2 linked regions of the Macaca fascicularis genome follow. The protein of the gene in region 1 purifies or fractionates together with the protein of each later gene. This does not show direct contact. Links are inferred from orthologs where the notes say so. Each region holds a gene or a part of one and is shown in the gene's direction. Other genes may lie near its edges.

Region 1 (3,751 bases):
ATACAAAAATTAACCGGAGATGGTGGCGCACGCCTATAATTCCAGCTACTCGGGAGGCCAAAGCAGGAGAATCATTTGAGCCCAAGAGGCAGAGGTTCAGTGGGCCAAGACTGTGCCATTGTACTCCAGCCTGGGTGGCAAGAGCGAAATCCTGGCTCAAAAAAAAAATAAAAAAGAAAAGATAAGCTTGGGCGGGGAGGGGTGGATGCAAAAAAAAAAATAAGTTTGGACTCATTAATTCCTTGGTTCCTTCAAAGTTTTAATATTTTATTATGCCTTTGATTCCTTCTCACTTTTGTTTCACCTTTTCCATTCATTTCTTCTTCTCCTCTTCCTCCTTTCCCTTTCCTTTCTGTGTTTCTGCTTATTTTCTATTACAAACCAAAATATGTGGACCATAAACTGCATCTGCAGTTCCTTTAGCCCTAACAGACTACGAGTTCTATTTCTCTTTATCTTTCTCTTTTTCACTTTCTTGTCTTTCCATTACTTATAAGTTTCTTAATTTTCCTGAGTCTCAGTTTTTCCATCTGGAAAGTGGAGATAACAATTACTAGATTGTTGTATCAGATGAATTAAGTAATGCTCGTAGCTTAACACAAAGGCCAAGATGTCATTAACTTTACCCTCACTTGACCTTCTGCAAGCCTGCTGTGAAATATAAAACACTATATAAATGTTAGTTGTTTTTGTTTTTATTAAAGTATGTTGAAGTAGAAAGATGGTTTTGAGTTTGAAAAGCTCCAGATAAATCCTTGGATTTTTATGAGTCTCAATTTCCTTTTCTGTAAAATGAGTAACATAGGGGTTTTTCCGCCCCAAGAAACTAAGAGTCCATGTACTGAAAGCATCATTCTACAAGTATTAATACATATATAGTAATCATGGTAGAGGGTGTCCTGAAGTCACACTGGGAATATTTGTGAGGATTCAACGGAATAAAATTTTAAAAGATGTCTGACCAATAGTAAGCACTCAATACATGTTAGCAATTATTATCTTTTACTCTTCTCACTTCTTTTCTCCTGCTCTTCAAAAAAGTGAGTGGTTGAACGACCTAGGTGATCTCTGCTGCTAAACTTCTATTATTGATTATTGTTTACTTCCTCTCTGCCCCTTACTCCCCCATCCCGTTTTTTTCCCGCTTCTTCACTCATTCCATTACAGCTTTTCTCTTGCCTCAGGCACCCAGGGCAGTCCTGATCTCCAGCTCTCCAGCGGCTTAGAACAAACACAGAGTCGGCCGAGACCAGGGGACCCGCCAAAGACGTCTGTGTTTAGTGGCTAGCGATCTTCCACTAATAAAGTTTTATTGAAATACAGTATTTAAAAAGGCGCCCGTCATTCTTCCCCCGGCGACCAATCGGAGAGTAGAATGCTTGCGTCCCTCACTGGAGCTTCAGCGGTTGGAACGCGGGGGCGGGGCATGTCCTGCCGAAATTTGCGTCCTTAGAGCGGAAGTACGGCCGGAAGCCCGCCATAGAGTTTAGTGGCCAGAGCGACTCTTCAGGGAGGTGGCAGGAAAGGCTTGGAACAGCTGCCGGAGGTGACGGAGCGGCGGCCCCGCCCGGTGCGCTGGAGGGCGAAGCTTCCAGGTAGCGGCCCGCAGAGCCTGACCCAGGGTACGACGAAGCAGTCGGCGGGAGCCCACGGTCGCTGGGCGGTGTCTTTAAGGGAGGGGGCGGAGCCACGTGTAAGCTTCATTGGGGTGAGGTCACGTGGTTGTGGGCGCGTGCGGGGCAGGAGTGGAGAACTGAGGGAGCGTCGTCGTTAGTGTGGATACCATGCGACACCCCTTTCTCCGTTGCATCCTGTCTTGGGGTTCAGTGGCGGTGCACATGATGGGGCTTGGGGTTAGGCTCGGGGGAGGGGGTGGGTGTGGCAGCCTTGTGAAGTGGCTGACTTTAGGATTTGTAGATCAGAATTCTAGACCGCTCCATGTGTGATTCCTCACCGCAGAACCGACTTAGTACCTATAACAATCCAGTCCTTCAGCCTTGTGCTTCCCATCCTACCAGCCATCGGGGATCTCTAGCTTCACATTCTCTTTCCTTGCAGCTCTGGACATCCTGAGCCCAGGTGCCCCCAGCTCAGTGCAGTCATGAGTGCGGAAGTGAAGGTGACAGGGCAGAACCAGGAGCAATTTCTGCTCCTAGCCAAGTCGGCCAAGGGGGCAGCGCTGGCCACACTCATCCATCAGGTGCTGGAGGCCCCTGGTGTCTACGTGTTTGGAGAACTGCTGGACATGCCCAATGTTAGAGAGGTGGGTTGCTGGCTTGAATAGTCCACAGAGAAGCATGGGCAAAGGTTTGAATTTGAGAATGGGTGGGCAGGGCTCAATTTGTGATCCCATACCATTCAGTTGAACAAGAAAACAGTGATGATTAAATGCCAACTTGCAAAAGTAACCAGTAAACAAGCAAACCAGCTTTCCTTTGGAGATAAAGGATCTGTAAAGTCCACTGTTTTTCATTTTAAGCAAAAGAGCATGTTATTCAGAATAGGAAATCTGATTTCCAGCCCGTCTCCACCAGCGTAATAGCTGTTAATTCTCATGTCACCTTGATCAGGTCACTTTTGTTTTAGGGCCTGAGCTCTCTTTTTTAAAAATGGAGACAATACTGCCCCCTCTGTTGTGGGAATAAAGTGAGATTATGGGAAAGTGTAAAGTCTGGTACAAGTGGGTAGTGAACATGTTAAATTAGCATGCCCTATTCTTCCCTATGTGCAGCATATGCTAATCTGTTCAAGGTAGCTAAGGGAGAATGTGTCTTTTTCCCAAAGACACATGGCAAACACTAGGAACACAGCAGAGAGAACCATTCACACAAAAGTGGCAGAGTTAATTTACAGAGGAGGCAGCCTGAGTCCTGACATGCTGACAGTGATATGTGGGTAAACTGAGCTAAGTTATGTGGGGCCTGTGGTTTAACCTTTTGGATCACTCTGTGATATGGTGAAAACTGGCTGACTTTTCCCTGCTTTCATCTGCAGTGGAACTAAAGAGTATCCATCAAGGTGATGAAAAAGAAGCACTTGGCCTGGTGCAGTGGCTCACGCCTGTAATCCCAGCACTTTGGAAGGCCAAGGCAGGTGGATCACCTGAGGTCAGGAGGTGAAACCAATATGGCAGAACCCTGTCTCTATTAAAAATACAAACAGGGCTGGGCGCAGTGGCTCACGCCTGTAATCCCAGCACTTTGGGAGGCTGAGGCAGGCGGATCACAAGGTCAGGAGATCGAGACCATCCTGACGGTCTAACACGGTGAAACCCCATCTCTACTAAAAATACAAAAAATTAGCTGAGGCCGGGCGCAGTGGCTCAAGCCTGTAATCCCAGCACTTTGGGAGGCCGAGAGGGGCGGGTCACGAGGTCAGGAGATCGAGACCATCCTGGCTAACACGGTGAAACCCCGTCTCTACTAAAAAATACAAAAAACTAGCCGGGCGAGGTGGCCGGCGCCTGTAGTCCCAGCTACTCGGGAGGCTGAGGCAGGAGAATGGCGTAAACCCGGGAGGCGGAGCTTGCAGTGAGCTGAGATCCGGCCACTGCACTCCAGCCTGGGCGACAGAGCGAGACTCCGTCTCAAAAAAAAAAAAAAAAAAGGCCGGGCGCGGTGGCTCAAACCTGTAATCCCAGCACTTTGGGAGGCCAAGACGGGCGGATCACGAGTTCAGGAGATCGAGACCATCCTAGCTAACACGGTGACACCCCGTCTCTACTAAAAATACAAAAAACTAGCCGGGCGAG
Region 2 (3,582 bases), on another chromosome or scaffold:
GTGAGAATGGAGGTACAGGCACAGTGGATTTGTCTGTAGCCTTGGAGCCCTGGAGGATCTCCCCCTCAGCCCTCTTTACCAGGCATTAACTCTTTATTTGCTAAATCACAAATGGAATGGCCAGAGGTTCCTAGGATTGGGGCCTGGGTGGGGGTCACTCAGAATCCACAATACCGAAGTATTTGAGTATAATGATTAACCAGCAGGGCCATATTGGAGACTGTCCACTGACTATTAGGTGGAGAAAGAGCCACCACTTGAAGGTTGGAAAGGCATTTGTCTCTGGGCATCGATCCTTGCTCAGGACTGCTGGTACGAAACAATCCCAAAGCAGATTCCCTAACCTAGGGCTTACTCTGCATCCCTACCCAGCCTGGCGGAAGCTGAAGCTCCCAGGGGACAGCTCCTTGATGACCTACCGGGGCCACGGAGTGCTGCACACCCTTATCCGCTGCCGGTTCTCCCCCATTCATAGCACCGGCCAGCAGTTCATCTATAGTGGCTGCTCCACCGGCAAAGTGGTTGGTAAGGACTGTGTCAGAACAGGGGGCCTCAGGAAGGGCAGGAATGACTCCTTGCCGTTCCACCTATAACGACCAGTGACCACCTTAAAAAAGCCCAGTGACGGCTACAGGTAAAATCTAACTTAGCTTGGAGGCTTAAACAGAGAAATAGAAACCATTCTATTTTTCAGTGTTTTAAATTAAGAAAAGGAACATAGAATTCTAGACAGTAAATATAATAGATTGCCAAAAATATAGTTGGTTCTGTTTTTCAGCCAGTCAAGGAAAGAGGTTGCAGATGAAAGGTAGGAGGGAACAGAGACAAAATGACACAGGAAGATGGTAGCAAGTAGTAAAGGGACATGCAATCGCTGAAGCAGAAAAGCACAGAAAGAAATAAGCTGGGCGCAGTGGCTCATGCCTATAATCCCAGTGCTTTGGGAAGCCAATGAGGGCAGATCGCTTGAGCCTAGAAGTTTGAGACCAGCCAGGGCAACATGGAGAAACCTCTTCTCTACAAAAAATGGCTGGACGTGGTGGCACAGGCCTGTAGTCCTAGCTACTTGGGAAGCTAGGGTGGGAGAATCACCTGAGCCCAGGAGGTCAAGCCTGCAGTGAGCCATGATTGTGCCACCGCACTTCAGCCTGGGTGACAGAGTGAGAAACTGTCTCAAAAAAAAAAAAGGTTGGGCACAGTGACTCACACCTGTAATCCCAGCACTTTGGGAGGCTGAGGCAGGCGATCACCTGAGCTTAGGGGTTTGAGACCAGCCTGGCCAACATGGTGAAGCCCCGTCTCTATTAAAAATACAAAAATTAGCCAGGGGTGATGGCAGGCACCAGTAATCACAAGCTACCTGGGAGGCAGAGGTTGCAGTGAGCCGAGATCGTGCCACTGCACTCCAGCCTGGGCAATAAGAGCGAGACTCCGTCTCAAAAAAAAAAAAAAAAAAGAAAAAGAAAAGGAAAGAAAAAAACCACAAGCACAGCTGCAGATATAAGGAGTCTAAGGCAGTGCTATCCCCAGAGAGACACTCACAGACCCATAACAAAAGAAAGATGCACCCTGTCCAGACAAGGTGCAGCAGGTGCACACTCCCCCAGACAGCTTGGTGTTCACTTTTGTGGTGCCTTCCATATCTTACTAAAATCTTTAAAGCCACTGCATTTTCTTAACTGTAGCCCCTATGAAATTTAGCTAAGGGCCAGAAATACCCACACCCACACAAACCACACCCTCAACCCAAGGTAGGGAAAGGAACAGGGATAGAAGCAGAAATAACACAGTCTGCTCGTGTGGGCTTTGCTCCCATGGGAACATGGGAAGTTGCCTGAGAGGTCAGTGGTGCTACTCACAGGGAGGTGAGGGATAGTTTAGAGGTCTTGTGGTGGTCCCTCTCCACTCTTGCCTGTCCTGGACAGTGTACGACCTTCTCAGTGGCCACATTGTGAAGAAGCTGACGAACCACAAGGCCTGTGTGCGTGATGTCAGTTGGCACCCCTTTGAAGAGAAGATTGTCAGCAGTTCGGTGAGGTTGCAAGGGTTGGGGGTGCTGGCACATGTCTGGGGCTTGGACTTGGGGTGGGGGCAGCACCTCCTGACTACTTGCCACCCTCTGCCCTGCAGTGGGACGGGAACCTGCGTCTGTGGCAGTACCGCCAGGCTGAGTACTTCCAGGATGACATGCCAGAATCCGAGGAATGTGCCAGCGCCCCTGCCCCAGTGCCCCACTCCTCTACAGCCTTTTCCTCACCCCAGTAGATCCGACCTCCAGCCCCATACAGGGTGAACCTCTTGATAAGCTCTCTGCCTCCTCCTCCCTTTCTCCCTTGTGGGGAATGTTTGGAGGAATCACTGGCATTGGATGGGGAGAAACAGAAGCCCGGGCTCTGAGCCTCAGCTGAGCCCTGGAAGATCCTCCCCATGGGGCAGAGTGGTCTTCTTACATGCTCACACCCAGTCAGCCTGGGTCCCTATCTCTGGCCAGAGTTTGGCAGGACTGCCATTATCTGGGGTGTGGCCTCTGCCAGCAAGAGAAGTGTCCTGGGTGTTTTTAATCATGTTTGAGTGTTAGGGGTTGGATTCTAGAGTAGATGTCTGAGGCCACATCTGAACAGACCTGTCAGCCAGGCCTGTTGCCCAGGTCTTCACGTTGAGGATTCGACTGGCCAAACACAGTACAGGTGTCCTGGCCTTTCTTCCTGAGGTCTCTAGGGGAGGGGCATGGGTAAGGGTGTTTCCTCAGCACCCTCCTGGGGTGGGGATTATGTCTGCTCTCATGTCTGGGTCTTTGGGGTAGGACGGGCTGTGGTATGAGAGGTAGGAGTCTCCACAGGGCTCTGTGTGGCCCCTCATAGGGCAGGTCCTGCCCTCTGAGAAGGTCCCTTCATGCTCGAGGCACACAGCTTTAAGGAAGTAGGTTGAAGTAGGACTCCTTTGTCCTCTCACTGGCTTTGGCTCCCTCAATAAACTGCGTGGGAACCTGGCTCAGTGTCTGTCTCTCTCTCTCACTGTCTCTTTCCTATCTGAGATCTTCCATCTCACTTCGGGAAAACACAGTTTCAACAGTCTTCAGATGCGATCCTGTGTAGGAGAAAATACCCTTCTGGTGCCCCATGAAAAAGGGAAATACCAAAACCATTTGTTCACTGAGCCTTGCAACAGGTGCTCCCTCACCAATTTCAGAAGCTTCCCTGCAAGTAGATACCGAGAGAGCACACTTTCCATCAGAGCCTGATAATACCACATCACCTCTGCTCTGAAGCCGGGCCTGGAGCTGTGCAGTCTTTGGAAGAGGTAGCCCATGAACACAGAGCCTGAGAGAAGCAAGTCAGCCCTGATGCCAGGGCCCAGTGGGCGCCTCACACTCAACCTCATACCCCAGAGCAAACCGATAGTCAGGGAGAGGGCTAGAGCTCACACCCAGCTCTGAATAGATCTTCCCCGACAACATTTCGTGCCCTCTGAGGCAGTTTTTAAATGATAGTACACATATCCAGGGATGTTCACAGGCTTTCACAGCAAGGGTACCTATTGCATGGCAAAATAGGCAGTTTTAAAAGAATAAACAGGCTAGGC

The links. Proteins that work in one complex are often made in the same cells at the same time.
Region 2: the proteins of COPS7A (region 1) and DCAF11 purify together in Homo sapiens (affinity purification with mass spectrometry; 3 studies listed by BioGRID and IntAct, counting the BioPlex papers as one, with this or other methods). This does not show direct contact. The link is inferred for Macaca fascicularis from reciprocal best matches to the Homo sapiens genes COPS7A and DCAF11.

Annotation. Positions count from the first base shown.
Region 1 is NC_088385.1:7,643,725-7,647,475, forward strand, and holds the start of COPS7A (COP9 signalosome complex subunit 7a), read left to right. Parts: upstream 1-1,488; 5' UTR 1,489-1,595; exon of another isoform or gene 1,596-1,693; intron 1,694-2,058; 5' UTR 2,059-2,101; coding exon 2,102-2,263; intron 2,264-3,751.
Region 2 is NC_088381.1:91,936,427-91,940,008, forward strand, and holds the end of DCAF11 (DDB1- and CUL4-associated factor 11), read left to right. Parts: intron 1-372; coding exon 373-525; intron 526-1,925; coding exon 1,926-2,032; intron 2,033-2,130; coding exon 2,131-2,265; 3' UTR 2,266-2,989; downstream 2,990-3,582. UniProt on the Homo sapiens protein: May function as a substrate receptor for CUL4-DDB1 E3 ubiquitin-protein ligase complex.